Oryzias latipes: one gene and its partner. The protein of the gene in region 1 interacts with the protein of each later gene in a biochemical or structural test. Links are inferred from orthologs where the notes say so. Each region holds a gene or a part of one and is shown on either strand. Other genes may lie near its edges.

What was found.
Region 2: the proteins of jund (region 1) and atf3 form a complex in vitro, tested with the Homo sapiens proteins (2 studies listed by BioGRID and IntAct, with this or other methods). The link is inferred for Oryzias latipes from reciprocal best matches to the Homo sapiens genes JUND and ATF3.

What each region holds. Positions count from the first base shown.
Region 1 is NC_019862.2:13,815,428-13,831,492, forward strand, and holds jund (transcription factor jun-D), read right to left. Parts: upstream 6,708-16,065; 5' UTR 6,462-6,707; coding exon 5,637-6,461; 3' UTR 4,636-5,636; downstream 1-4,635. Other genes in the region: rab3a (ras-related protein Rab-3A), read left to right, coding at 987-1,177. UniProt on the Homo sapiens protein: Transcription factor binding AP-1 sites.
Region 2 is NC_019882.2:23,401,258-23,417,486, forward strand, and holds atf3 (cyclic AMP-dependent transcription factor ATF-3), read right to left. Parts: upstream 10,700-16,229; 5' UTR 10,669-10,699; coding exon 10,575-10,668; intron 9,863-10,574; exon of another isoform or gene 9,862-9,862; coding exon of another isoform or gene 9,786-9,861; coding exon 9,610-9,785; intron 9,536-9,609; coding exon 9,428-9,535; intron 8,326-9,427; coding exon 8,047-8,325; 3' UTR 6,732-8,046; downstream 1-6,731.

The DNA of each region.
Region 1 (16,065 bases):
AAAAGAATTTCAAACAGCACTGAAAATATGTGGGAGGGACCCCACACAGAGAAACACAAAAGCCAAATGTCTTTGCTTTTTTATAGTGTCCTTACTTAGAGATGCTTGAAATAGAGGACTTCAGTTTTTCCATTTTTGGCATAGTTCAAAGACAGAAAATCCAGAAAAAACATGAAAATGTTTGTGTTAAGTTCATTGTCATGAAATCTGAACATCAATTGTGTCATAAATTGATTAAATAAACTTTTCTTTTTTTAGTAGCTGCTAAAACAAAACTGACTGAATGGTATAAAACTGTCAAAAAACAAATCCTCTTGCTCATTTTTCTACTTTAAATCTGAGATTGAAGATATTGTGTTTCATTCATTTTCAACACGTGGTTGACGTGTTGACAAATGTGTCAGTGCATGACAGCTTGGTCATTTTTAGTAAATGACCTAAACACAAGAAACCAAGTTGTTCACCTTTTGACTAACCCCGTTAGGGGTCGCCACAGCGTCTGGTTTGGCAGAGATTTTTTAACGTTAGATGCCCTTCCTGACATAACCCTGTATTTTCAAGGCACAGGGAGAACCAGGGTTTTAGCTCATTGCACCCCGATTGGAACCCAGATTTCTTGTGTGACAGTCCTACACCCAGCCAGTTAAGCTTTCTAGCCGCTAGGTCTAAATTCAAGAGATCAGGACTTATTGATAAACTGTGATAAACTTGAAATAAGGGAGAACTAAATTATTGTAAATAAATAATCTGACAAATAAACTGACAACTAGAATTTGATATATCCTGAGGGTTAGTTCAAAACAGAAAATAGCTTTGGATAGTAGTCAGATTAAAGCTGGTGTGATTGATAAGAAAACGTAACACCTAATTAAATCAATTGAACACTAACTTGCTAAAAGAATTTGCTCAATGATCTGCCAGTCTCTACAGGAAAAGAGAAGGAATGCCATTTTGACCTGACCGCCTTGCACTTCTCTGTCCTCCAGGTTTCGAGTTCTTTGAGGCCAGTGCAAAGGACAACATCAATGTCAAGCAGACTTTTGAGCGCCTCGTCGACATCATTTGTGAAAAGATGTCTGAGAGTCTGGACGCCGGTGACCCTGCGGTTACAGGGGCCAAACAAGGGCCTCAGCTCACAGAGCAGCCCGCCCCTCCTCACCAGGACTGTGCATGTTAAGACGCATTCATTTTTTCAACCCGTTTCTCTCGTCTTTATTCTTGTCCTTCGTAAGCTGTACCCCAGATCCTCAGGTCCTTATTTCATCCCCCTTTTCTCACCTATGTTGGTTCATGGGTTGATAATAAACAACACAAGCTGAAAGTTACTGAAATGCTCTGACGTCCAAACGTTCCAGCGTTTAAAGTGTCTGCCCCTTCATTCTTTTATGTAATAGGGGAAAAAGGTGTTTTTCTCAAAAGACACGCTTAACCAAAGCCAGAGCGACTTCAATCCAGCCAGAGCATTTCAGACTCTTTGCAGCTGAGGTGCTGATGGTTTTACTGTTCCCCATTGAAGGATTTGACGGCTGACATCCTCTGAGTGCCATTTAAATCCTTCCAACGTTTACACTAGTTTGTTTCATATTGGTTTAGGGAAAGAAAGCCAGCCTGATCTGGTGAATGAAAAGGAAGCTGTGGCATTAGATAAGAGGGAAAATGATCCATCTAAAATGAATTCAAAACCATTGTGCTGTGCGTCATGTAAAGCGTTTTATTTTCTCATCCATCTATAAGGATAACACTGAAAACCACAATCTTAGCTAGCTTTCCCCTTTTAGCATTTTTTAATCTTATGTTTTTGCATTTCTCTTCTAATCATAAATTTTGTGTCATTCATTCTACTTTTCATTTATTTACTAACACTTGGAGGCAAAGAAAGGAACAACCTAACTGGCATAAAAAAGCAAAAACCGAATAGAAACGTATTCAATTATATTTATTTAAAATGTACATATAAATGTTGTGCAATATACATATAAATATATATATATATAAATAAGATACAAACCAAGAATGCGCTTCTTGAAAAAAGTTTTAAAATAAGTTCTTCAAAGGACAGTATCTAAAACGAGACGTCTGTGTTGTGGTGTTTGTTTGGATGTGTGCAGGCAGCTTCACGGGGAAGATTAGAAATGTTGAAATGTCCTTTCTTGCCCGGAAAATTGAATTTGGAAATCCAAATTACAAACTTTACTGTCATAGACTGTTATTTATTCCTGTTATTTTCCAGTTGCTGAATCCACACGGTGGGATTTCCCCTGACTAAAACACAGAATAACATCTTTGTGTGACTTATTTATTGGAGAAGGTTGTTTGAGCAGTTGCAACGTCATCAGAAATGTGTTAAAGTGTCTAATCAAGGCACCACAAATTTGCCCTTGTTGTGGCTTTATTAACAGGTGTAAAAATGAAAGGATATGGGAAAGCCATTATGTACCATACAACAGCTTTATTGAACTAACTAACATCACTAGGTTATTTTTTTATTTATTTTTCATCTTTAATGCAGGTGACAGCTTCTCACTTGTTGCACATTGTGGTATTTTGTTTTTCTCTTAAAACCCCCCCACAAAAGTGAGTAAAGACAGTTTAGGATAGAAACAGAATTTGATAGAGTTAAATAAATCAAAACATATTGAGACCACTGCAGCGATTCGCAACATCAGTTTGATCAAGCTCATAACTAGTATTATCTTCTTTTTCTGGTGCTCAGCTTTGGCAGGATAACTAACACATTAACATACATCAGTGTCTCTGTTTTGAACAAATATGACATCTGAAGAATGGATCTCAGTTCATATTTCTTCATTTGCAACATTCATAGAGGTTAAAACATCCTGCTTTTTCCCTTTAACTCATCAGCAAGCAGGATGAAGCTTTCTCAGAGTCACAGAGCAGCCTCTGCAGGCTCAGTGTGGACCGAAGTTTGTTCACGGCAGAGATCAAAACAGGAGGGGGTTGACCTGGCTGGCATCTTGGGTTGAAGCTGGATAAACAATGCAGTTACATTTCAAAGTCACACAGCTCCCCTAACATGGTACAAAACCAATTTCTGAACTAATTTCAAAGTAATTTCAAGGCAAAAAGATAAACAGAATCAGTTTTGCAAGTTTTATTTATAATCAAAGAGTAATTTTAGAATTACACAACATTTAAACCTAATCTTCTTGGTTTAAGTTCAGTAAAATATTATGATGAAACAGGCCGATTGGTGAAATGGTGGACTTCATAAAAGCTGGAGGATTTGACCCTGTGTATGTTTCTGTTCTTACTGGTTGTGACTGTTTATTTTCCAGTAAAAACGAGTAAACTGCTCTCCTTTCTAATAAGTCTTCCTCTCCATATAATCCTGCGCTGTAAATACTGTATCTTTGAGTTTAAATGTGTGGATTGTGTTGTATCGAATCAGGCTTGCATTAAAATACAGGAAAAAAGAGAAGAGGTGAGGGGAGGGAGGTGGAAAAGATGAAAACTCCAAAATAGCCATGATGTACTGTATCTGCATTCATTTCTAGGCCTGCTTGTGAATGAATGTGTCACTCAGTTACAAAGCAATACCCACTGCAGCAAAGCATACAAAAACAAATGCCATCCAGCTTAATAGAGGTTGCTGACAGTAGATATTTTACAAGCACGCAGAAACATGTATCCTTATTTGGTCTCGTATCACTGCCTCTTCAGATCCTTACAGTTTGGGCCATTGAGATGAGAGGACATACTGTGGATGTTTTTATCTGTAATTTGTGGTAAACAATTAAAAAAAAAGCTAATAAGCACCCAACTGTGGATTTTTTTTTTATTTTTTGAGATTTTATGGGTTCACAAAATAAAAAAAACTGCCTTAACTTTGAAAAAATCTTCAAGACCACCAACATATCATTGAACACAAAGCCTAACATGAAATAGACCAATCTGTATAAAAGTTGTAAACTGTGTGACTTCTGTGCAGCAGCTTCTTGCACCCAGCAGATGATAATTGGAAGTGACAGGCCTGGCATCGAGCAGACAAATCAAAGTGACATTTTACCTTCTGGCTGCAATCTTTCCTCACACTGACTGAAGCAGTATGTTGTACTTTTGACTTCTGCTCCAACAGCTATAATCTGCTCTATTTAGGAAGCACTGCCATTCAATAAGCAGATTATCAAAATAGGATGTATTAATAAATTATACTCTGCATAGGCTTGGTCACGTGCAACCACCTTATTTGAGTTTTCTGATGGCTGTTTTATATGATTATTGACTACAATTTAGCAAAATAAATTATGAAAACTATCCTGTATCGAACTTAATGTGAATTTACAAGCAATTACATGCATGTAAACTAGAAGAATGAAAAGGATTGCCTATCCAGTTGAATACAGACACTAATTATGCAGTAAAATGAGCTTTAAATGACAAAAAAGTATTTGATAGTAGACTAAAACTATTCTGAGGGTTGATTTTATAATGTTCAATTACAATATTTCACTCAATACTCCTGTTATTGCTCAGTTTAGGCGTGTTACCCAGTGGTGTCCTGCTGTTAATATTCTATTCAACCAGCAGAGGGAGCACGACACCATACTGATCAATACACCCACTCCAAAAATTCAGAAATATTATAATTTTTTCTACAAAATGACAGATTGGGGCTAAATTAGCATATTTAATTAGGGCTTTTAATTTTACGATACAATAGTCAAATTCAAGAATTATTGAGCATTTAAACAAGAACAGTTTGTTTCCCCAAAAACATCATGAATCTGGCATTAAGATTACAAATGATGTTTGTACGAGAATTTCTTGGATTACGGAATAAAATGTTTAAATACCGGTATTTCTTTTTTAACCAGTCATTATTCTGCTCTTTAATTAGATTTGTGTTGCAAACGTGACATTAACCAGACACGGTTTTATAGTAGAGCAGCATTTAATTCAGAACACGATGGTGTGTATGAAGCCAAGTCACAGTAGACTTGACCAAGTCAGTGCAACAAACTGGTTACAACTGAATGTTAAAAATGAAAATACACAGACATAAACACAATAAAGTATAAAAAAAATAGTAAAAAGATAAATACACACATGTTAATGTGAAAATGAAAATAAAAACACTGGTAAACCTGTCCCCTGTGACACCAAGCCAAGGGCAACATTCGAGTTGGTCAGCAACATGCAAGCTGTTCCTTACAGAAATGCAATACATACAATAAATGCTGTATATAGATCATCTTAGATATCAAATGTGGGGGATTTGTCTTTCTTGCACCCATCTTTTGGTGCCCATTGAAGTAGATATATTCGTTTGGTCCATGTATGAGACTGCATCCAGTCAGTAAACATTTTTTATAGGAGAAAAAAATGATGATCTTACATTGTTTCAATCCATTTGCTCTCATCTGTAAACAGACATACGAGGTAGAAGATTTCTATAGGGTCGAATATGAGCCTGATCAAATACATAATTGGACTTCACTTAATCTGTTCAATCAGATGGTGAGCATTAATCACCATTTGAATTTGGACTGGATGGAATTGCTACCAAAGCTGACATGGAACCCCGTTTTGAACAGTCCCACGGGGCTACAGAGACCAACACGGACTAAGTCCATCAAGCTTATGTGCTGGTCAGGAGCCTCCGGGGCGTCTGTCTCTTAGTGCACTTGTACTTCGTGGGGGAGCAGCTGGCAGCCGCTGTTGACGTGGCTGAGGACCTTCTGCTTCAGCTGGGCCACTTGCTCCCGCAGCAGGCCGGCCGTCGACGCCAGGTCGGTGTTCTGGCTCTTCAGCGTCTTGACCTTGTCCTCCAGCCTGGAGATCCGCTCCAGCTTGCGCTTCCGACACTTGGAGGCTGCGATTCGGTTCCTGAGTCTTTTCCTCTCCGCTTTGATCCGCTCTTGTGAGTCCATGTCGATGGGAGACAGCGGGGGGCTCTCCCCGAAACTCTGGACGTCGGGGACCGTCTGCGGCTCCTCCTTCAGCGGCTGGACCCGGGAGAGCTCCGGCTGCGACGGGGCTGCCCCCAAATGATGCGGCGGGGGAGGCGGAAAAGGGACGGTGTCCGTGGAGTAGTTGACGGTGGTCCCCAGCGGGCCGCTGCCGCCGTAGCTGTTCAGGTTAGTGTACACCGGCAGGTCGGGTTGGACGCCGGCTGGAGCGATGTTAGCCCCGAGGTCCAGACTGCTGTTCGTCTGCCCGGCTCCGCTCAGCTGGTTCTGCTTGTGTAAGTCTTCCAGCGCCTTCACGAAGCCCTCGGCGAATTCCTGCTCGTCCGTCACCGTCTTCGGGTACAGGAACTGGGAGCTGGTCGGCGTCGTCGTTACCATTCCGTTGGACTGGATGATTAGTCTCTCCAGCTCGGGAGAGGCCAGCTTAAGCAGCCCCAAATCTGTGGAGCTCAGGATGCTGTCAACGTCTCGAATATGCGGTTTTAGGTCGGAATTGTCCGAAAGGCTCAGGTTAATGTCCTTCTTCATCATTTCCGTGGGTAAAACTGTGATTAAAAAAAAAAACCGGGCTGCGCGACACTCCCTCAGAAAAATGCCCGGCCCATAATCTCACTGAAGGGAAAGGCGTTAAAACGATGTAAAAATGTTTTCAATGCTGGCAGCTCCACGGTTGAGTCAGAATGTTCGCTCGCGCACACCGCCTCGAGCTCTTTTAGACTTGAACATTCCATAATGTCACGTCAGAGCACGCGGCGGGATGGGCAGAAATTACGTTTTCTGAATTAAGAAAGGAGCTGAGCAGATATGACGGGAGAGAAGACAGGCGGCTCACTCTGAGCCTTATTTTGAAAACAAAAAGTAGTTATGAAACTGAATCAATTTTCTCCTAATTAACCCGTCTAAATGCTAAGCGTTATAATGAAATCAAATAATCCGGTTACGAACACACACATGTTTTAAATATAATACTGGAAACTGAGTGATCTGAATTATTGCACCGTTTGTCAGGTGTTTTAAAATACACTTTTTTATTTAATTTTTGTAAATTCACTTTAAAAACTTTTTTAAATACTCTGTTTCCTTAGGATTCTGTTGAAATGTGTTTTTAACTTAAACTGTAAACATTGAAATAAATACTATAAGAAAAAAACTAAAAGTAGTACACAACTTCGAATAATTTTTCTGCTTTACGTTTTTCCCCTAAATAAAGCAACAACAAAAATCCACACACACCAAAGTTACAAGCAAATTAGGGAGCCAGTTTTGACAATATTTTGAACAGCCTTTATGGACTGATTCAAGCCGTTCTTTCTACCAATTAACCCTGATTTCACAAAATAACAGAATTAACACACAATTATGACATCCAATTTTAATTAAAGTCTTTGAAAGTTTGGTATGTTCCAATGGTTTAAAATCCAAAGCTTTTTTCTGCTGTTCATCTTTTTAAGAGACGATCTTTGCTCACACCACTATTGCCATGGAGAAAAAGAGGAAAGCACAAACAGTGAGGTGGTGCACTGATGTCATTGTGGGTGTCGATCAGCATATGCCTTCGTTTTCAGCACATCTGAAAGAAAAAACTTAAATAAAAACCATTTGCAAAACACTTAGAACAATGTTCAGTTAAACAATGTTACATTAAAAAAGTATGTTTGTAGTATTTGTTAGAAGATGTTAGTAAGCAAAAAAGCTAAACCCCCTGATGAGTCAGGAGTCTCACTTCTCTTTTGAGACTTTTAATGAATAACACAAGTTTAGGGAAGTTTAATCTGGAACTGATTCACTTTTAACACATCTTTATTTACTTGCGGTTTTGGATTTGATTGAGTCTCACTTTCAATATTTGTCTAATGAGCTAATTTCAGTTGTTCATTTTCCATTTCCACAATTTAGTAAACCAGAAAGGTTTGAGACATAATTTAAATTTGGAGGCAAAAAGCACCATTTAATCATTTTTTTTGTCTTTTCAACTTATTTTATCCAAGTAATAGACTTTGATTCCCAAATTTTAGACAGTAAACTGGAGACATTAGGATATGTTAGAGCTGTGAAGCTTCTCGGCCGTTATATTGTTTTTAACTCTGGGTCCTTCCAACATCTCAATGCATTGTTGTTTGTAATTCCCAACACGGTCAGAGGCAGCCACTCTAAGAATTTTTCTGTCATACCCTTGGATAATGTGTGCAGAATGTCAGCAACTAAGGCATGCAAGCTGTCAAGAACTGGTGATGTAGGAGATGCTGGAGACCAGGCTTGGTGGTGGAAACTTAAACGTTTCTTCTTCTTGTGTAGTCTTATGGTGGACAGCAACCTTAAACATTTAAGGAATAAACTAGAACATGACAAAAACCCATGCAGAAAAAAAAAGGTGATAAAGCAGATACGCTGACGATGAAGAGCTGAAAACCAGACACTAGGCTGGGGACACTTAACAAATGAAGACAGCTGTGGATGATTAGTAACATGAACCAGGGGGGTATTCCAGAAAGCATGTTTAAACTACCCTGACTTTAACCCTGAACTCTAGGCTGAAATCCGCCTGAACTTGCTTACTCTGGGTATGTCGGTTCCAAAAGACCGGATATGAGTTAGCGTAATTACGCTCAACTTGGTAACCCTGGGTTAATGCACGAGCATGGCAAGTAGATAAAGACATTCTCAATGGATCGACGATTTCCGGAGTCACCATGGAAACGCGTGAAGAACAAAAGCGAGTGCTATACTTCAGTGAGACGGAGTCAGAAATTTCAACGACAGCATGTGAAGATTATACGCCCATCAAAAAAGTAATACGGCTGCATCATCAGCAAAATAACCATCCAATCCTGAACTCACACACACACACACACACCCATGTCTCTCTCTCTCTCTTTCTCCTGTCTCTCATTATGTGCAATATATTATTTGCACTATATCTCTGCTATCATGGGCATAGCAGTGCAATACCTACCTCACTGTGGAAAGTAAAACTTTTCAGCTAAATTTTTTACTGTACATTTTTTTGGACTTAGTAAATTGTACATTTTTTGTGAAATAATTTTCCTTTTGCATTTCTTCACTGTACAGTGATCAGCTCTCATTTCACTGTATGCGCGTGTGATGCGAATTGTACATGTGTATAGTGACAATAAAGGCATTCTATTCTGTTTTAAAAGAAAGAGTTTCTGCTTGGAGAAAAAGAAGAGACAGAGTAAACGCACGAGTTTCTATCTCATTTCTATATTCATTGTGACGCATATATATATATAAATTATCCAACTTTGCCAACTTAAATGAATTACTTCTATTGGTAACAAGTAATTGAGTAAAATTTATTCAACCTAATTTCTTACGTCTATCCAACTCAATAATTGTTTATACAACTCAAATTTACATATCTATCTAACTAAATGTCATATTACTCCAATTCAATTAAATGTTCTTCCATATTAATTTATTGTACTTCTTGAACTCTCATATGTCTAAGTTTGAGCCTGTAGATATTCTCGTTTTTATAACAATAAAATGAAAGAAACACAATAGACATGTAGTATGAAAGCATATGTAATTTCTCCAACTTTAACTTCACAATATTATGTGGTAGGGGTGCTAAATAACTCATCATCCTCTCCTTCCCTCTCACTCATGGTGCAGTAATAATTAAACATAACAGGACAAATAACTTGGCAAAACACAGTAAAACAGCTAAACAACTAAACACATTTGGTCAAAAACCCACACTTAAACCCAAATCCGTCCAGACAGCCAAAGGGAATGGCATCCCACAATTCCTTGCGGTGCCAATCTAACAGCAGCACCAAACTTACAACTACTTAATTGAATTCATTTGAATGAAAGTAAAATAACTGTCTGATGACTATGTGTTATTTTTAAACTGACTTAACTAAAAAAAAAAAGATTTATCTTAACTGAAGCAAATATTTAAGTTAGTTTATGTAAAAAAAAGTTTATATTTCCAACATCCATACATGGTCTTATCACCCTCTCACGGTGGAAAAAGTATATCTGAGCTTCTACATCCACTAAATCATCTTCAAATGGAAACGCCATGCTCCTTCACCTCTCTAAAAACAGACTAACCTTCAATTAAACCTGCTTCAAACCAGGTCATGTTCAGAGCATTAGTTGTTATGGCAACTTGACATACCCTGAAACATACCTACATTTCTGGAACTGAAAGCTGAGGTTATCCGCTTCCTTAGCCTCAAATTTACCGAGGTAACTAGCATAACCTGCTTTCTGGAATAGCCCCAGGAGTGACAAGACATATTCAAAACAATAATTAAAACACCGTACTGGAGTGCACAATCCTCACACAAGCACTATTTATATATATATATATATATATATATATATATATATATATATATATATATATATATATATATATATATATATATATATATATAAAATGTATTTATTGATTGGAAAGGAAGTAAAACAAAGACGTATACTTTGTGAACATTTGCAGCAGCTAAGTTACATTTACAGGCTTTTTCCAACCTCATTTTTTTGGTATCATCCTGACTTACAACAATTTGAATGAAGAAATAATCAGAAATGCAACTTTAACCTTCGTTTTCTTTATATATGTCCTTCATCATGAGAAAAATGCCACAATAACATACACCGAAAAACACAATTTCCATATGAGTGGGTCTTTAAAACGTGTGATGTTTTTATCTTAAGTTTTTATTATTTTCACCCATCTTTATGTCAGTGTTTGTCTTTACTGTTATGAAGCCCTTTGGTTAGTTAAAAAAAAAAACGACACACTTGATTCTTTACGATTTCATGTTTATTATACAACTACCGGCATGAAGCCCATCGAGATGACTATTGTTGTAATGTAATGTTGGGCTATATAAATACGATTGATTGATTGATTGATTGATTGATTGATTGATTGATTGATTGATTGATTGATCTGAATGGAGGCATGGATGTAAATTGACAAGTCAAATTATTATGAAAAGATAAACGGACACAGCTTTAGTTCAGCTCTAAACCTGCCCTCTCTATATTTAAAATCTTCCTCAAAGAACTCCTCCTCGTCGTCGTTCTGCAGTGCTTCAACGGCCAGTAAAGGGTTACACAGAGGAGAGCTCGTGCGTCACAGGTCCAGGTCCGTCGTATCCATCGCTGCGAAAGCTTTGCGCGGGCGGATCACATGACAGCCGCTTCGACGTCACATCTTTTTTTTACACGGCGGAAATGGAAGTGGTTGGTGTGTGTTTGTGTGCATGTGCGTGTGCGTGTGCGTGTGTGCGTAGCAGATATACATGTTTAAAGGCTGCCTGAGAGTGGCGGTTCTGTCAGCAGGCGGTGGCTGGAAAGCATGCGCTCATGTCTTCTTCAGCTTTACCACAGAATCTGATTTTCTTTCCCTTTGATTTGAACCATTTGAGCCAAAACAATGTGGAATACCCAAGAAGAGAATCTGAATAAATGAAGCCCAATTCTACACTTTGATTCATGCCTATAGGCCTTTATTTGGGGTTTAAAAATATATATTTATTGTCTTACTATATATTTTAACTTTTGGGTCTTCTTTTGACCATTTATAATATTGATAAACTAATTTGATATTATAACTATTTTTGTTGAGTTCTTCAACATTTTTTCAATCTGTAAAAGTGGACTAAATTTAAAGGCCCACTCCAAAGAAAATGGTGCTTTTGAAATGTTCTTGCAGGGAGGTATGATGAAAATTCAAATTCAAATTAAAATGACATACCTGAGTATTTCTTTATGCAAATCACAGTGAATCAAGTGCAGACGAAAAAATGTCTTTTGAAAAAGAGCCTAGTTACCTACAAACTACAATCAGTAGGCCACAAGCTCCCTGCTCCGCTCCATGCTGATGCATCCACCTGCAAACAAATAGATCCATGTATGCCTTCTCTGCCTTCTTTTCCGACCTTTGAGCTAGCATCTAGCTCAAAACCTAGGATAGCTCCAATATTGACTGCCTTTTTTTTTTTTGCACTGCTAATGTTAGGTCGAGGTTGTGAGGGGTTGTAAACTAGCGGGAGAGCAGAAACTGCAGAAACTGTCTTAGAAAACAACAGGTTTTTTTTTTGGCTAAAAATGGCATAATCATAATTAAAAGACCTCTGGGGACTATTTTACAATAGATGAAAAGATAATATGAGTGGGACTTTAAAGACTTTAAATTCTTTGTAATGGTTTTTAACATAAATAAAGAAAATGTAAAATATTTGTGTGATTGGATTGTTCCTTTCTAAAGGTTTTCTATTGTACATGACTGGAAAAATTAATTCAGTTTCAACGAAACACATCTTGATTTTGTGTTTTTCTACAGTATTTTGTGATGTACACATGAAACAGAAACATCAGTTTGACAGTAGACTGCTGAATTCCCCAAGGAAAAGTAAAGAATTGGAGTACAGGTCTTTTGGAAGAACTCTGCATGAGGACAAGGTATCTGCTGGAACTTGAACTACATCTGAAGGACATTGTAGTTGTTTGCCATAAACATGCATCATGTGTGTGCTTCAGCCTTAAATCAGGATGATAAAAACCAAAGTAATGGCGAGCTATTTAAAAGTTCCTGCAAAATGACATTTTTTTTTTGTTTGTTTCTATTGATTTTATTGTGAAGCTTTGGTGCCATGTCAATAAGGAAGATCTACAATTCATCACTTCTGGGGTTGTTACATCACTCCTTCAAAACCGTCACTCCCTACAAATAACTGAGTTCCCCACCATTTCAGGCTCTGGAATTTATTCCTCTACGGTCCAACGTTATCCCACCAGCATGACAGACGTCATCAACCCAGAGCCTAACCGCCAAAGACTATGGACTTCTTTAATGCATATCTTTTTTGTCACAAATATATCTCTAATTTATTCACAATCTTAAGAACTCTTTTTATTGAAATGTCAGCTTTGAGTTCAGCATGGGTTACTGCTGAAGGGTGTGTATGGTGTACACAGGTGTTCACTTTGTAAAGCTTAGGTCCTGTTCAACAATGCTGTAGTGTTTGAATGGCAGGTATGTGAAAGTGTGAGGACATCTACTTGAAGCAAAGCGGGATTCTGCAACCCTTGCACATCCACTCCTTTTAGATTCCAGAATTCTCCATAGCAGTTCTTAGGCCACTGCCAATCTCACGCCGCCTTTTGGTTGGAATGCAGATGAAGAAACAGAAGCAGCTCTTACAGTCAAATTCAAATTTCAATAGTTTAACTGTAGTGGTGTAGCTGTCTAAGACAGAGACCACAAGTGAAACAAAAAGATTCACACATGGTTGACTAGTGGTATTAGATCTCTCTTGTGCTTTTTATCTTATTTTTGGTGCTTTTATTCTGACAACTCAATGACTAATATCATTCCTCAATATTTGAAGTCTTAAGCCTCTTCTCATACATTCAAATCTGATTTGGAAAAAGGGAATCAGCCCTTTTAGTCCAAGTTAACATTCAGCTCAGATACAAATGCATGAAGTAACAAAACAGATTCACATGGTCCTAATGTATTCATGTGAGTCCCACGAAGAGTCTCCATTGAACCTGATGACGTAGTTTCAAAGTGTGGGTGAAGTTCCACACTGAGGGAGGATGTGAAACCCTTCATGCTCGACAGACAGGTGTATGAGTGCGTGCAGTGATGGTTTGTATAAAGTATACCCCTGCACACACAAGCACACTCACAATGTCGACCACAAACCTCAAACGTAAACCTTTTCATCACTATGCATTAGCTCATGTTGAAAACATACAGTTTTGCCTTAATAATGTTTTCCGAGTGTAATGTTTACCATCACAGTGATGTGCGTTCTTTAAAAGAATTGAAAAGCTTACTTTCCGAACACCTTCCATGAAATTACCACTCTGCTTTAAAAAAAAGTAGATAATCTGTATATGCAGTGGATTTTATGTACTTATGTTATCTTTTAACAATAACATCTAAGGCAACAAATTCTATCTTATGCTGTTTGCAATCTGTCAACATTTTATATCATTCAATAATTGCCACAGCTGTACAGCATCCACATTCTATAAAGGTATTATTCATTTTTGAAAAATGTCTTTTTAGAAGCAAACTACTGACTACTTTATTCTACACTAAACTGAATTATGAGAATCATCTTTTGAATGACAGATTGAGTTTTCCATTCATTTTGCACTTCTAACCTGAAACTGAAAAATGTAAATGACATTACACAGATGTTTCTCCCTCCCCTTCTGTCTAGTTTTTTCCCTCTTTATGTGTATTTGTGCATAGTTTTTAAGTCTTACTTTTCAATATCAACTTCCAAATGAATGCTCCCATGGGCACTTTTGTGGAATGGTTTGTTTAGACCTTTAGTTCTGAACTCATTTGTGGTACAAAGCAAATCAGATGACAGCTGCAAACTCAGAGTAAGGTTCATCCTAAGAAATATTATTAGAACTTTTTTCATCTAGCTCTTAGATTATAATTCTAAATATTCCAAATTCTTAACAGGTATCTTGGTGGACTAAAAGTATTATTTTATCAATCCACAAATAACCCAAAAACTGTAGGAACATGTGAATGCAAAACTGAGTAGCACAATTTTAGGCAGCAAACAGCCAAAAACTGTTATTAAAAATGTATTTGGGAATGCAAAAAATAAATAGATAAAGACAAGGAAAAAAATCTATATAAATTGACCTCATTGACACAACTTGGAGACGATATCAGAAAAAAATATCTGTGACACCTGCCCAGTACACATGCTGTCTACTTTATATACCACACCTGGGTCAATTCAATCCTGGCCAAATCAAATTGAGACAAATGTGTGAACCATATTTAAGAGAAAGAATATAATAATGTATAATCATTTTTTACATTTTTGTCTCAGGTGCCGAAAGGTGGAAGCCAAAAAATATATTTGCATTCACATTTTTTCAAAGAATATTTGGCAGAGATGCTCACAGGTCGCTCTTTGCAAATCCAAGTCCTGTCTGAAGTCCCTGCATTTATGTTCAAGTCTAGTCTCCAGTCTTCAACTGACATTTCAAGTTAAAAGCCTAAAATGTTACCATCACAAATTGTCATTAAATACCCTTAAGCAACTCATGGGAACACAATAACTGGCAGTTCTGCTTTACCAAAGAAAGTGTCGTGTACGTCCAACAGCATTGTTGTGGAGCTAAAATCTAAGAATAATCGAATGAATATCGTACACAGCTGGGACTTTAGTGCTGCCTATGTCTGAGACTCAAATCCAAAGTCTAAAGTCGAAGTACCATTAGAAGTTTTTAAAGGATGGCAACACTAAAAGGTTTTTTTTAAGGGACATGTCTTATACAACGACCTGTAGAGCAAAACTGTAGCTTCAACATGCAAAATATTTGTTCCTACATTAAAAAGACAAATCCTGAGTTCCTTAATATAGGCTACAGTGCCCCTTGAGGTAGAGGATGTATTAGGAAAAGTATTGCAATAGTGATACCTTTGACTGCTGCAAATACATATATAAATATTTTTGTTGCACCCACTTGCTAAAATGGAATCTAAAAATGAAATGTAAGGTTTAAAACCTCCAGCATTTGCTTTTTCTCGTTAGTCTTTCTTTAACACAAAGAGGCTCTATATGTGTGAGAAACATCAGAAGGTTCAGCTTTCTTCTACAACATTATTTCTTGAATTTGGGGCATACTACATCACCTTTAATATGAGTTATTAAAATCCATGTTTCAACATAGTCCTCCTTACAGTCTTTTCTCTGAGGGACTCTTCAGTAATCAGACTCAATCAAATACATCTGACCTCCTGCCCAGACAAATTTCCTGGCATAACAATCTGGAGAGAACTTAACTGAATTCCAGCAATAAAAAGATCTGACTCACAGGAAAATATGAGCCTTTATTCACTGACCACCTGCAATGGTGAAGGTGATTGGTGTCTGATACAACATAGAAGACCAAACTGTTGGAAATAGTCTCCAAATTATGGAATTTCAGACAAAATAGGTGAAGGAGTGGGAACAAAGCACACAGCATGGGAAGAGATGTTTTCCTGTCAGGCAGGGATTAAAGGAGCTTCCATAAATATGTTGAGCAGCTTGCTACACTTTGTGTCCTCTGGTAAAAATAGGCCTTCTTCCAAAGGGAAGTGATGACGTCTGCAGCCCCC
Region 2 (16,229 bases), on another chromosome or scaffold:
CCTCTTTTTTATGTCAGTATAGACTGCACATGTATTTCTCTGTTGAAATGGCTAAAACTTAAAGTTAACTTGAAATGCTGCCCCCACTGGTGATACAATGCCCTGATAAAGAAAGTGTATATTGTGGGGACCCGTACTTCTTCTCTTTAACCCTTGTGCTATCCTATGACCCCCCCCCCCCCCCCCTTCCATTGACGTGTTCTCCCTACCAGGACAAAGGTGGATAAAGGTGGAAAGATTTCATGTAATCCATGGACACCAGTGAAGATCACAAATCATTGAAGAAAAAAGGTTCAGAGCACTGTCTAGTGCAGGGGTGGGCAATTCCAGGCCTCGAGGGCCGGTGTGCCTGCATGATTTCCAGATAGTCTTGCCCTACTCGTGGCTGATTACCTGGTTCAGGTGTGTCCAGCCAATCAGAACATGCCAGAGCAGGGTATGCTGGAAAACATGCAGGAATGCGGCCCTCAGTGCCCACCTCTGGTCTAGTGGGTCTAGATGACCCCACTCCCAATGTTAAAGTGCCTAGGATAACAAAAGGGTTACACAAATTGTTTATTCTATGTATATTCAATGCCTTTTTGGACATTTAATGCCTTTATGTGATTTAACGTAGATGAAGCAAACTCTGATGAAAATAAGCCCCTTGTTATGACTTTTGAAGCTGCTGGCCGTCGGATTACAGCCTTATTATATGCCGAGGGAGATCACATCGGTTGTGGTGGTGAATGTTTATGTTCCTCCATCTGCCGATGCTGAGACCGCCGCTGACGTCATCACTACCACCGTTTCCCGCCTGCAGACAAAGCAGCCTAACTCCTTCTGCATTATCACTGGAGACTTTAACGACTTCACCATAGACAGAATGCTTGGGGACTTCAATCAATATGTAATCTGTCCCACTCTGGAGAATAAAACTCTGGATCTACTGAATGCAAATGCAAAGAATGCAGCAGGTCTGACTATGACCTGGTTCACCTTATCCCGAACAATGTCTCTATTGCCCTGTGGAAACGTGTCCACAAAAAGTCTGTGAGGAGGTGGACTCCAGAAAAGGAGCAGGCACTGCAGGAATGTCTGGAGTCCACAGACTGGGATGCTCTTTGCACGCCTCATGGGGAGGACATTGATGGCATGACGGACTGCATTAGGGAACATATTAAGTTCTGTGAGGAGTCTGTTGTGCCTACTCGAACTGTTCGATGCTTCCCCAACAACAAACCCTGGATCAGCCACTGCTGATCCTGAAGAACCTCCTGAACAGGAAGAAGAGAGCCTTCAGGTCTGGAGACCGGGAGGAGCTGAAGAGGGTGCAGCACCAACTACGGGATCAACTGAGGAATGGGAGAGATTCCTACAGGAGGAAGCTGGAATCCAAACTCCAGCAAGACAACATGAGAGCGGTGTGGTCTGGAATGAAGAAGATGACAGGTTGTGGGGGGAGAAGCAGACCCATCACAGGCAGCAAAGAGAGAGCTGACGAGCTTAACACCTTTTTTAATAGGTTTAGCTCTCTGAATGCTTCAGCCTCCTCCCCCCCACCTCCACCATACCCCCCCCCCCCCGCTCCTGCTGCCTCTCAGTTGTTGCACTTCCACCCTCATGAACCCCCTTCACCTCCTCACCTTTCTCCCCCCTCCACCACACCACACCTACTGGGCCCGCAGTCCAACCACCACCCCCCTCCCTCCCTGTTTGACTGTAACAGCCTGCCAGGTGAAGAAACAGCTGGAGAAACTTAACCAGCACAAAGCAGCCGGCCCGGATGGCGTCAGCCCTCGTACCCTGAGGACCTGTGCCCACCAGCTGTCTGCGGTTCTCCAGCATCTCTTCAACCTGAGCCTCAGACTGGAGAAGGTGCCCCCCCTCTCTGGAAGACCTCCTGCCTGGTCCCTGTACCCAAGAAGACCTCTCCATCTCACCCCGGGGATTTCCGTCCAGTTGCCCTCACTTCTCACGTGATGAAGGTGCTGGAGAGGCTGGTGTTGGCTCAAGTGAGACCGGTGGTGAGCTCTTCTCTGGACCCCTACAGTTTGCCTACCGGCCGCGCCTGGGGGTGGATGATGCTGTCATCCATCTGCTGCAGCTCTCTCACTCACACCTGGATGGTGGTGGAGGCATGGTGAGAATCACCTTCTTTGATTTCTCCAGTGCCTTTAACACCATCCGGCCTTCTTTACTGGGTGATGAGCTGCGGCTGATGGGTGCTGGTGCGTCCACTGTCTCCTGGATCACTGACTACCTGACAGACAGGCTACAGTTTCTGACTGGGCGGCGTCCTGTCTGACGTGGTGCTGAGTGGTGTGGGAGCCCCACAGGGCACTGTGCTCTCTCCATTTCTGTTCACCTTGTACACCTCAGATTTTCAGCACAACTCAGAGTCATGTCACCTACAGAAATTCTCTGATGACTCTGTGGTTGTGGGGTGTATAAGCGGTGGACAGGAGGAGGAGTACAGGAGGCTGGTGGACGGATTTGTGGAGTGGGCTGGAGGGAATCACCTGCTGCTCAATGTGGACAAGACCGGGGAGATGGTGATCGACTTCAGAAGGAAGAGGCCAGTCTTGCAGCATCTCTGCAACCTGGGCAAGGATGTGGAAGTGGTGGAGGAGGACAAATACCTAGGAGTGACTATCAACAACAGACAACAGACTGAGCTGGAGGAGCCACAGTACTGCTGTGCACAGAAAGGCCTGCAGCAAGATGCTGGAGATCTTCTTCCAGTCGGTGGTAGCCAGCACCTTCTTCTCCTCTGTGGTCTGCTTGGGAAGCAGCATTGCAGTCAGTGACACCAACAGACTGAAGAAGCTGATCAGGAAGGCGGGTTCTGTCATTGGCTGCAAACTGGAATCATTTGAAGCAGTGATGGAGAGGAGGTCACTGAACAAGATCTCATCCATCATGGACAACCCAGACCATCCTCTCTAGCCGGTTCTGGACAAACTGGACAATAATGCTTCTCTGAGGTTCATTACCAACTGTAGATCAATGACGCGCATCATTGTGACGTATATTCAAGAGTACAATGGCCTTCTCTGGCCACTAGGAGGCAGGGACATTGGTACACTTTTATTTACAAGGCCTTGCTTGGATTACTGCCTCCCTACATTTGTTCTTTAATTAAAAGGAGAAGTGTGGAATCTTACTCCTTAAGATCTAAAGTCCAGTTGTTGCTTTCTGTTCCATTTGCCCACACAGAGCTGGGAGAACTCTGCTACTTTTGCTTGGAATATGCTGCAGAAAGACTGGAAACTGACTGAACTGGTATCTTTAAATGTTTTTAAGGACAAGCTCAAAGCATCAGAGGCTGAAACAATAATGTGCAACTGCTTTTTCTGATGTATGTGGTTTTAATAATGTTTGTTTTTATGTATTTTTTGTATTGAAATGTGCTGCCTCTTGGCCAGGAATCCATTGGAAAAGAGGTTTTTAATCTCAATGGGACTTTCCTGGTTAGATCCTCGGATCAAAATCATTTAAAGATTTTTAAGAGCAGGTATAAAACCAGAGGTGACCAGTCGTTCCAGGCAATAACCCAGACTCTGGAATGCCCTCCCTCTATCTGTCAGGTTCTGGGCCAGGGCGGTTGTTGGGTTTTTTCTTTTTGACACTTCCGGTTTTTTGTCTCTGCTCGTTCGTTCTGTCTTTACCTTATTGGTCTCACCTGTTGCTGAATCACCTGGAGGGTATTTAGCCTACACTGATCCTGTCCCTGTCACGGGTTCATTTTGGATTATTGTTACGATCGTGAGTGTTATTAAAACCTACGATTTGACTACGAGTCCCTGCGTCTGCGCCATGGGTCACCATGGACCCAGCAGACATAGACAGTTCGCGTTCAGAGTCCTCCAACCAGGAGAGAGTGCTCTGCCAGCAGGAGGAGCAGATGAACTACTTACGCAGGGGTATGCTGGAGATGGCCAACCGTCAGGAGCAGCATCGATCAGCTGGCGCAACAGCTCCAGCAGCCGCCGCCGGTGCAGCCGCCCTCCTCCGCATCCGCCCAGATAGCCAGACGTCCTTCGCTCCCACGGTTCCGCTGGCCCGACTGGAGAGGTTCTCCGGTGCGTCTGGGGACTGTCGGGCGTTCATCACGCAGTGCGAAATGCGCTTCGAGCTACAAGCGGCCGCCTACCCCACGGATCACCCCAAGGTGGCGTTCATCGTTTCACATCTTACCGACAGAGCCGCCGCTTGGGCCACGGCGGAGTGGCAGCGCGGGTCCGCCTCCTGCGCTTCGCTCCCAGCCTTCCTGGAGGCTTTCACCCAGGTATTTCAACATACGAGGCCGGGTAGGGAGGCTGCCCGGGCACTGATGCGGCTGCGCCAGGGGAGGCGCCGAGTGGCGGATTACGCTATTGACTTCCGGACTCTCGCGGCCGAGAGCGCATGGAATCCCTCGGCGCTTATTGACGCTTTCGTTTGCTAAATTCCAGGCTCTCTCCTTGCCGCCGCACAGGCCCTATGACTGTGCCATTGAACTGCGGGCGGGCGCCCCTCTGCCTAAGGGCTGACTGTACAATCTGTCGAGGCCTGAGAGGGAGGCCATGGAACAGTATGTGACTGATTCTTTGAAGGCGGGTCCCTCCTCTTCCCACATGGGAGCTGGGTTTTTCTTTGTGGGTAAGAAGGACGGCTCCTTGCGGCCATGTATTGACTATAGGGGGCTGAACGGCATTACGGTTAAAAATCATTTTCCTCTTTCCCGGATGAACTCGGCGTTCGAATCCCTGCAGGAGGCTAGGATTTTCACCAAGTTGGACTTGCGGAATGCCTACCACCTGGTGCGGATCAGGCAGGGTGATGAGTGGAAGACCGCATTCAACACCCCGCTGGGTCACTACGAGTATTTGGTGATGCCTTTTGGCCTGTCTAACTCCCCTGCTGTGTTCCAGGGCATGATAAATGATGTGCTCCGCGTTTTTCTTCATCATTTTGTGTTTGTTTATCTAGACGACATCCTTATTTTTTCGCTGAACCCGGACGAACATCGGGGGCATGTTCGGCTGGTCCTCCAGCGGTTGTTAGAGAATAAACTGTATGTCAAGGCCGAGAAGTGTGATTTCCTCTCCTCTTGTGTTTCTTTTTTGGGGTTTGTCACTGCCGAGGGGGAGGTGCGATCCGATCCGGCCAAGGTGAGCACAGTGGTGGAGTGGCCCGTTCCCACTAACCGGAAGCAGCTTCAACGTTTTTTGGGGTTTGCAAATTTCCTACAAATTTCCTCCTAGATTCATTCGTAATTACAGTTCTGTCGCCTCACCTCTGACGGGTCTTAGCTCCCTCCCCGTACCTTTTCAGTGGACAGATGCTGCTGATGCTGCTTTTCTACGTTTAAAGTCATTGTTTTCCACTGCGCCGGTTTTGATCCAACCCGACCCCTCCGGTCAGTTCATAGTCGAATTAGACGCCTCCGACACAGGGGTAGGGGCTGTTTTGTCCCAGCACTCTGCTACCGACGGTAAAATCCACCCCTGCGCCTTCTTTTCTCGGCGTCTTACCCCAACGGAGGCGGGGTACGACGTAGGGGACAAGGAGCTACTAGCCATTAAGCTGGCTCTGGTGGAATGGCGCCACTGGCTAAAAGGGGCGATTCAGCCGTTTGTGGTCTGGACGGATCACAAAAATCTTTCATACATCCGGACCACGAAGCAGCTGAATCTTAGGCAGGCTCGGTGGTCCATGTTTTTAACCCGTTTTGATTTTCTGGTGTCATACCGTCCTGGTTCCAAGAACGTTAAGCCTGATGCCCTCTCTCAGCAGCAGGAACCGGTTGTAGAGGAGCGGGAGCCCACTACCGTGATCCCAGCTGACCATGTTTTGGGTGCTGTCACCTGGCAACTAGAGAGGACTATTAAGGGAGGCTCACACCCGTGAGAGCCGTGGTCATGACGGTGGTGGATCGGTTCTCCAAAGCAGCCCATTTCATAGCCCTAAAGAAGCTGCCCTCTGCCGTGGAGACCGCCGCACTGGCTGTGTCGCCTCGGTTCATCGGTCCGTTCGAGGTTGTGAAGGTGGTCAATCCTGTGGCGGTCCAGCTGCGTTTGCCACGGACAATGCGTGTCCATGTGTCCCAGATCAAGCCCCTCTCCACGAGTAGTCTCCATCAGACCGCTCCCCCGCCTCCGCCTCCTCGTGTCATCGACGAACACCAGACCTGGACGATCAGTCGCCTGATGGACGTCAGACGAGGATTAATATGAAATCTCAGTTGATGTGAAATGTTACATTTTCACTCTTAACCCTTGTGCTATCTTAGATGACCCCACCCTTCCATTGACGTGTTCTCCCTACCATGACAAAGGTGGATAAAGGTGGAAAGATTTTATGTAATCCATGGACACCAGTGAAGATCACAAATCGTTGAAGAAAAAAGGTTCAGAGCACTGTCTAGTGGGTCTAGATGACCCAACTCCCAATGTTAAAATGCCTAGGATAACACAAAGGTTAAAGATGTGACGGCTTGACATAGGCCTTGGAGCACTAGCAGCTGTTCAGGCCCAGTATGAGAACTCCTGAGCAACCAGAGTCTCCACCAGTATTGCCTATTGCCTGTTCAGACCTATCCACCCAGACTGATGTGCTAGATCACAGTTGTACTCTGAGTCTGACATAGTCCTGTCCAGAGCTCACATTTCCCATAACCATAAACAGCAGCAGTCATGATGCACAGTGACTATTTTCTGGTTTCAGTAGCTGAATGAAAGTGAGATAAAGTAATGAAGGACAGCAGGTTTCATTGGCTAATGGTGTTTTTAATGTAAGTATCAAAAACAAAGCTTGACAGATAGCAATAGAGGAAGAACACAGACGAGCAGTGGACACACAACAACACATACACAGACGCCTGCATCTTTTGATATTTGACAACTAAGAAACCACAAACAATTGTTTACTCATCTCAAAAAAGAAAGTTTAGCTCTCATTACCATCAAACCCTTGATATTCTGCAACCTGAGAGAGACAGTAGCTCAGAAAAAAATGCAAGTGTCGGTAGGTCGGAAACTTTCTTTTATCAAAATATTTCAAAAGTCATTTTTCTGCAATCATTGGAATATTTCCTTTATGTCAAGAAAAAAACAAAGACTGCAACTCAAAATGAAACCACTGACTTTTAGAGAGACAGCAGTAAGTTCAGAGCAAAACTGAGTTTGAAAACAAAAACAAATAATATATAATGATATAACTGAAAGCCAATGATTATATTCCAGAAAGCAAGCAAACAATGCTTTTCAGTTTGATTGAATGTACATATTAGTACTTTTCAGAAAGACAAGTTCTACCTTAGTCCGTTTGAAGCACTGGCTATTAGAAGAAAGACATTTTGGTAAAGCGAAAAATAAATCGTTCGAATCGAGAGCTTGATGGTAACTGAGCACTTCCACCAACCAGTGAAAGGGTTAAAGCAGATAAATAAATCAGGGGAGGTATGTGATTCTGAAAACACTGCTCTCAAGTCGCTCAGATTTAGAGAGAATGAGGAAAGAAAATGAACATTTTGACAAAAATGACTGTCAAAGGCAATCTAAACAGCGGCATGGCAGATGCTGTTTAGATTCACAGTTCCCAGCTGGTTCAGGGCTGATAACCAGGACTTGGTCTGTGGTGGGTCACTAAATCAACAACAAAAACTTGAAATAATAAGTGACGTCCTAAGTGGAGGTTAGCAGCAAGTTGGATCTTTCTCCTGACATCGGACAGAGCCAGGTTGTTTGGGAAAATCGGAACATACAGCAGTCATTCAGTAATTGTTCTCACTTTGGTGCTGCTGCTGTGCAGGCCGGGCTGAGCCAACAGAAAAAGTGCTTTGTTGAAATCTGACTTCAGTGCAACACACCAACATAACCATCAGGAAAGCTTTGATATGTGTAATGTCAAAAAAAATGCATGACAGATGTCCCCCTCCCTCACAACCCTCAGTGCATAGTCAGGTTTTTGCAGCTTTGTGTGAGCCAAGTGTGGCCCGCAGTCCTTTCTGGGTCAGGCCTGTTCAGGTCAGGCTAACACTCAGCTAGTCTCTGATGTTGGTAGGGGGCAGCCTCTGCTCAGTCATAGATCAGCGGGACAGCAAATGTGGTCAAGGCTTAGCGGGCCCCCCCCCAGCAAGCCCTCTGTGGTGGAGGTGAGGCTGTGAAGCTGGAAGTTGCTCTCCTTGATGTGCTGGAGGAAGAGGTTCCTCTCGTCCTCTGGGGTTTGTCCGTCCTGGGCCCGGACGATGCAGGTGGGTCGGTGCAGGTTCAGCATGTAGACCAGCTGCTGCTTCTGCTGCTTGAGCTCCTCGATCTGAGCCTTCAGGTCAGCGTTGATGCTTTCCAGCTTCTCTGACTCCTAACAGGAGCAGACGCAGAACAAACGGGGCTCAGTCTTTTGGAACATCAGGTGGAGGGATCAGAAAGCTGCTTTGGTTAAAAAAGTTCCAGGTCTGAAACCAAAAGAAGCTGCTGAAGAGAAACCAAGATCCGGGACACGCTTTTCATTTGAGGATAAATGTTTTTTGACAACTTTAATTCTTACCAAACTTTTATCTTCTTTTCCTCATGAAATTGTATTTCCATTTGTAAAATGCCTCAAATTCAGATCTTTTTTCTAGAAAGACTAATTCCACCTCAGAGAATCTGTTAAGTCTCTATACCATTGTCCAGGTGAATACTTAATTCTGATTGGTTGCAGTGTGTATATTTCAAAGTGATATCCCACACCTAAAAAAGAAGTTCCAGTCACACCCCCCAAATGTTCCTTATCACTGCAGTGGCCTAAACACAAGTCGGTATTCCGATTATCACCATTAAAACATAAACAAACATAGTTTGTCATGCCTTATTCCAGATTATTACAACAGTAAGACAGTAGAAAACATGAGTGATTTTATAGTTTCCTTTCACCTGTTTGGTTAATTTGATCTTTTTAGAGACTGCAGCAAAAGAGAACGAGAGAGAAGTGGATCTAGAAGGAAGAAATACGACAAGAGGAGGAACTGAACTATTTAGACTTTACAGTTAGTTTCTTTGAAACAAACTTTAACTTCCTCATCTGGACAAAAAGAAGCAGTAAGACGTGAACTTTCACACTGAACTGATGCTTTATTCAACCCATCAGCATATGAATCACTTTCTTTTGCCGCTGCAGTCTCTATGGCCATTACCATGACAACGTACTGCATATAACTTAGTCTGATTTTTGTGAAAACCTAAAAAAAAAAACAAGAATAAAGTACTAAATATTTCTTTGGGAAGTGACCATAGTATAAGCAGAATAATCTGCATTATCAGAAATGATGAAGGTTCACAGAGGCAACCTTCAGGCTTCCGTTTCAAGCACACAGAAGCTACATATCTGCTAAATGAGTAAACTGTGATGGTAGTAAGACACTTGGTCTCATGCATGTCCTCCAAAGAGCTCCTGGTTACAGCCTGGTGAAAACAGAGTTTACCTTCTGCAGACCTTCAGTCTTCTCCTTCTTCTTGCTGCGGCATTTTGCAGCAGCAATCTTATTCCTCTCTCGCCTCCTCTTCTTCCTGTCGTGCTCCTCTAGCGTCAGCTGAAACCCACACAGAGTTCTGAATAAAGAATCCACTCAGCAACAGACTGGCGTGGGGGGAGTACCTGCCTCACCTCTCTCTTGACCCCTGACTCGTGGGTGGGCGGGGCCTGGTCCGAGGCAGAGCTGGCGCTGTCAGAACTGGCGTCTGCACTGAGCCCGCAGGACAGTCGCTTGTTCTGGATGACCTGACGGAGCTCCTCCTTCACTATGGGGGTGAAGTTGGTGAAGTCTTCTAGAGTGAGTTCTCCTGGGGGGGACAGGCAGGGGACCAGGGCTGAGCAGCTGATGTCAGCCAATGACGGTCCCAGGTGCTGCAGCATCATTCTGGAGACACGGCAGACTTTCAGTCACAGTCAGGCTCAGCGTCCCCCCTCCCACCATTTGTCTTTCTGGTTTTGGACTTTCTTTAGCCCCTTCCTGAACACGCCCTCTGCTTTTTACAAGAAATACTTTGCTCTGGAACTTTTTTAGTTTTTTTTTAGCTAATGTTGCACTTATATGTGGCTTGGTGTTTTTTTATCTAGTATTTGTGTAGTATCAATGTTTTTCCACACAGGTTTCCAGTAGCATAAACTAACTGACTACATTCAGGCAGAAACGCCCACATGAACCCTAAAGATCTCTGACTGCTAACCAGAGACTTCCAGGACAGATTCTGCTGAGTAATAATGACATCATGAAGATAAAGAGTCAACACATTTGTTGTGTAACAGCAGGTGAAGGAGGTTCTGCTCCTTCAGAGGAACATCCGCGGCTACAACGGAAGAAGAACTTCTGATCATCACACCGGTTCGATTCCCTCCCTAAGGCGTTTTTGAGTGTTATTTACTGACTGAAGGTAAACTGGTAAGCAGAAAACGAAGGTTAAAGCGGAGGATTCAAATAGAAACACTTCCATGAACAGAAACTAAGTCTTTCAACGAGAAGCACCTACAAACAGTTTGCTTTCTGTTTAGAGCCACGGCCGGACCGGACCGGACCGGACCGGCGGAAAAGCGCCCCCCTTCCCCGCCTCCAGCACAAGACAGGAACGCACCTTTGAAAGTTCTGGTTCCGGCTCTGGTTCCGGCGTGGACTGCTCCGTTCGGTTCCGCAGTACTGAGTTGCGCTTCTCGTCTCTCCCGTTGCATCACCCACTTATAGGAACTCCAGGGGCGGGGCTTAGTGACGCAGTACCTAGGAATCCTACTAGACTGCGAGGGTAGGAGGGGTGGGGGTGGGGAGGGGGATGACATCATCTTATTTATAGACTCTGATCCAGTGATGATGCCACCCAAGGACCAAAACGGGGGTCCCCTTCTCCCCCCAAAGCACCTGAGATAGATAGATAGATAGATAGATAGATAGATAGATAGATAGATAGATAGATAGATAGATAGATAGATAGATAGATAGATAGATAGATAGATAGATAGATAGATAGATAGATAGATAGATAGATAGATAGATAGATAGATATAGATTCAGGTAAATACATAAAATTAAATGGCTTTTAACTTTTAAAACATTCTTTTTGATCACTTTCCTTTTTTTTCTCTTTAGAGATCTGTTTTCCTCCTGCACCCCCCCCCCCCGTTTGTAAATGGGTCACTACTGTTGTAAACTAAAATTTAAAAATGTAAACTTTTACAACTTTTTAAAACATAAATCTAAAACGTTGTTCCAGAATAAATCAACTTAAACTCTAAATAACTTTATTTTGCTCTACTCTCAAAATTAAACAAGATAGAAATAAAGTAAATATTAAAGAAAAAAATTCAAATTTCATTAAACATGTCATTTTATACAAAAATTAAGTTCAAATTGTAAATATCCCAAAAGATTTTATTCTCCATAAGATTATATCCTGCCCAAATTATACAAATTCAGCGTTTACAAATCATATCATTCTGTTTTCTTTACTCCTGTGTCATTTGATCAGAGCTGAACGTCTGGCATCGTTTTGTGTCACACAGTTGGTTTGTGTTTGCTGTGAGGTTCTGTGTTGTGGAGATTCTCAGGATGGACTGCAGGTGATCATCAGTGAGACGACAGCTGTCTGCTGTTTAGTTAGTCTTCATCACTGAGAAGAGCTTCTCTCACAGAAATGTGCATCCAAACATGCACAAAGGTGGAGCCATATGTAGACGGAGCTGGGGCATTTCTGCAGGAATGGAGAGAATAACCCTTGTGCTATCTTAGATTCCCCCCCCCCCCCCCCCTTCCATTGACGTGTTCTCCCTACCATGACAAAGGTGGATAAAGGTGGAAAGATTTCATGTAATCCATGGACACCAGTGAAGATAACATATCATTGAAGAAAAAAGGTTCACTGTCTAGTGCAGTGGTTCCCAAACTTTTTCTGCAGGGCCCCCCTTTCTGAAGATTAGAATATTTTCAAGCCCCCCCAGACTGACACAAACATACAAATCCTTTGTTTCTAAACTCCACTGGACTTTACTTAACATTGTAAGTCATACAAAATGGCAACTTCTTCCTGAACAAAACCAAAAAAACAAAAACAAATCACCTTTACAATTAATTAAAGTGACACTGTCACTAGTGACACTAGTGTGATTCCCTGGTAGTCGGAACACCCCCTCCGGTCTCCCTTCTTGAACCACCACCCCTGTCTGCCAGTCCAGTGGTACAGTTCCCGACTGTCACGCGATGCTACAGAGACGTGTCAGCCAAGACCCTCCCACAGCATCCAGAGACTTAAGGTACTCGGGGCGGACTTCATCCACTCCCGGGGTCTTGTCACCGAGGTGCTCATTGACTACCTCAATGACTTCAGCCTGGGTGATGGACAGCCCCACCCCAGTCCTCAGCCCCTGCTTCCTCAAGAGGAGGTGTGTCAGCAGGATCGAGGAGATCTTGGAAGTTCTTGGAAGTTTTCCTTCTACTGCTCGACAATATCACCAGTCGAAATCAACAGCTCCCCACCTGCACTAAAAACTTTTGCAGGTTCTGGTGTCGGAGTCGTTTATGTGGGAAGCTCAAAACAGCAGAACACAGAAGTTTGACTTGATTTCAGAACAATTGCTGTTTTTAAAGAAAAACCAGCAATTGTATGTCTCGAATCTTGTGCCTAAAACAGATGTGAAAAAAGGACGAGTGAGCAGGAGTTCACAGCAGGCCAGCTGCTCCCCTCTGGTTTCACTGTGACACAACTGCAGGAGTCTCATTCTGAGAATCAGAAAAGGGAAAGTGAAACACCTTTCTGCTAGAATTTCCACGTGGTCAGGTGATGTAGTTCTTTTTGTTTAACTTTCTTAAAGTCTTTTGAAGCCACAGCAAATCTTCAGTGGGAGTTGGAGGGTGCGATTGCATGTTTGCTCACTGCTTTACAGTTTTTCTCAGTCGCTTTAGTACAATTCTCAGATCAGAATGAAATTCCCCAAACTATTTGTTCAATCTTCACATCATGTTGTCACTTGTGCACATCATATAAGCAGTTTCTCACTTCTTTGAACAAGTTGCAATTGCTTTGGTACATCCATGCAAATGATTCTGTACAATTCTCTGCTCTTTGCTACATTATCAATTGTTTATGTCATGTTGATCAAAATGTATTATATAGTTCACTGTGCAATAGTCTTACTCCTCAAAACACCTAGTCATTAGTTCATCGTCATTAACTGCAAAATGGTTGACCGAGTTGTCATAATGTGACAAACATATTTCGCTGCATTGCTGGAGAGGATATTCGCTGTGATGTGGATGAGAATTTGTGTCCTAACAAACAGGAACGACAAGAGGTGTAGGAAGACCACACCAATTCCTACTGCACTTCCTGTACTGTTGGACAGAATATTGTCCTATCTTTTTTTCCCTTTGTGTTACTGTTTGCAGTGGGTTTTTTCTATGTTGGTATGACATGGTCTGTCAACAAATTACAATAAGAACAATAAAAGTGTAAATGTGAATCTTGTCCAGTCTCTTGCAATCAAACAAAAAAGGTGTAACTTCCATTTTACAATAATTGTCATCCAAACTTTAGCCATAGTTTCCATCAGAACCTCCCTCTAAAGTACACAGTTATATTGACAACATGACTAAGTCATTTGACTGTCTTGTTCGTAGACAATGACACAAGGACTTGACATTCTGATGGCACTGACATGTTCAATGACATAAAGACTTAGTTTGGAGAGATGAACTAAAGATTTTGAGCAAGTTACAGGCTTTTGCAAGAAAACCATTGTGTTTTGCTGTTTGTACAAATTGTTTTGAGAAATGCACACACGTATTTGCAAACTTCAATTCTGATCTGAGAATTGTACTAAAGCGACTGAGAAAAACTGTAGTAAGAAAAAATTATTTTCAAATTTCCATCCAGACTTCTAGAAGGCGTTCGCAGCATTTATGCTGATAATTCCTGGGTCCATGCTTGCTTCCCAATAAAGCCACCAGGAGCATCAGGGGTTTAATTTCCCGGAACCAAGAGGGTGACGTAATCTGCTTCTGCAGGGAAGCAGAGATGGGCAGAAGAGGAGGAGGAGGACTGGGCTTCTTCCATTCAAACTCTGCACAGACAAAACAAAAGAAAAAGAAAGCATAATTTACCCTCATATAACAAATTAGAATGTATTCCTAATAAAGCAGAATTACAAAGAAGAGAACATCATCACATACCCGCTGTGAGGCTTTGTTGGGTCATGATAAAACTGGAGAAAGAGTCTTCAGATTCAGCATACATAGTGTTTATTTCCTGTGTTGCATCATCCTTTCCGGGAAGCTGCAGCTCTTCCTCCTCCATCTCAGTCACTACGTGTTCAGTAACTACCCCGCCCCCCACCTTCCTTCTGTTTCTTCTCGTGCGCCCGCTGCTGCACAGCATGATTACGGACACGTTAATGTGGCTTTATAGCTTTAAGTCTTACGGCAGCCCAGTAGGGTCCTTTGCACTGATCTGAGTGATTCGAGCTTTCCGGTAATTGTCTGAGCTGATGATGATGCCATCCCTCTGAGGAAGGCTGCATGTGAACTTCTAGGATTTAAGCGGATTCTGACACAGCAGTAACTTTTCCAGACGGGGTGGGTGGGTGAGGGTGAACCCGTCCAGCACGTGGCAAAACGTTGCAGTACCCCAAATGACCGGTGGTTCTGGAGCTCACTTTGATTGATCCCTCTCCCCTAGCATTCCAAACAGGAAGTAGCTACTGTCTCCAAGAAGCTAAAATCCCACAGACTTCTATTGAGAAATGACGAGCTGCTACTCATTCTACTTGTCGAAATAGCTATTCTTGTTCGAATACTTTTGTTTTAACATTTTCTTGCCAATCCATATTTTTTATGATATTTTTTCTTTTTTTCCAAGTTATAACTGACCAATCAGATGCCTCAATAATACCATGTAGTGCCCACTGGCCCACACCACATTTGATTGCCAGACTGGGGTGTGGACTTCAAAGGAGTTTACTCCTGACTAGAAAATGTAGTTGCCATAGAAACATTGACTCAGGCCAACCTGGACCAATTCGTAGCTCTGTTTACATGAACAAACGTAATCGGAATAAACACCTAATTGGGATAAAAATATGTCATGTTAACATTCGGATCAAAACTTCTTTCCGATCGAGATAGGTGGGTTATGCCGATTGTTGATCAGATGGTGGTGCATGTAAAACAGTTTATTCCGATCGTGGGTCACTACTGGTGTAGGTCATGCGTAGACGGTGTGGTGCTCTGAAGGAGTCTTTGGACTTGGAGTGCAAACAGGAGCGGCCGGCTGCAAACCATGTCTCAGAGCAGAGCAGCCGGACTAGTAGCTTTGTGTTTGTGAGCTGGGGAAGGTGCTTTGTTATGGCATGCGCTCCGGAGAAGGCTTCGGACCACAGTTTGTCCGGCTGCTCTGCGTGAGTGAGCTGCTGGACTCAGGAGAACTGTGTCTCCCGGTAAAACGGTGTCTCTGAGCAGAGGACCGGTTTGGGACGGTGTGAGCTAACAGAGGCAGCTTTTCAAAGCAGAAATGCAGTGTTAACAATCATGTGAATTTGTGTTTCCAATCGTGTCCAGACTAAAGTAAGGCTGACATTATTGCAACGTATTTACGTTCAGCCAAAGTGCACATCGCGGCAATGACCGCATGAATTTAAACTGCCTCTATGGCTAAGTGTTGTTAGCTCGTAGTATTAGCCTCACCCTAACCCTTCTTCCAGCTCTGTGCTGCCAAAGAAAAAGCACTGGCCACACGGATTAAAAAAAATTATGACCGAACAGGCACTTAATAATAGTCCTAACAATAATAAAATCACGTTTAGAGGACCATCGCGTTCCATGCTGCTGCATTATTTGTTTTTTCTTCTACTGCAGCTGTTTCTGGTATTTTAGAAAGTTCTGCACAAGTCAAAATGACTTTTTCCAATCGAAAGTGTGGCGTATGTAAACGTTTGTTATAATCAGATAAAGTTTTTCTGGACCCATGTACAAAGTCCAATTCTAATCCAATCGTTGATCCGATCAAATACATTTTGCATGTGTAACTGCAGCTACTGTCGCCTGCCGTAATGCTAGCTTGATGTCAGCTTTTTGGCTGACATCTCATGTATTTTGTCCACTGTGATGGTACTTTGTCGTTTTTACGTTATCATAAAATAAACCTACCGTCCCTCAATCCAAATGGTATTTTCTGATATTGATTATAACCATTTTTTTCATTTTGAAAAGATTTTATAATGAAATAAGTGGAATCCATTTGATTAGCAAC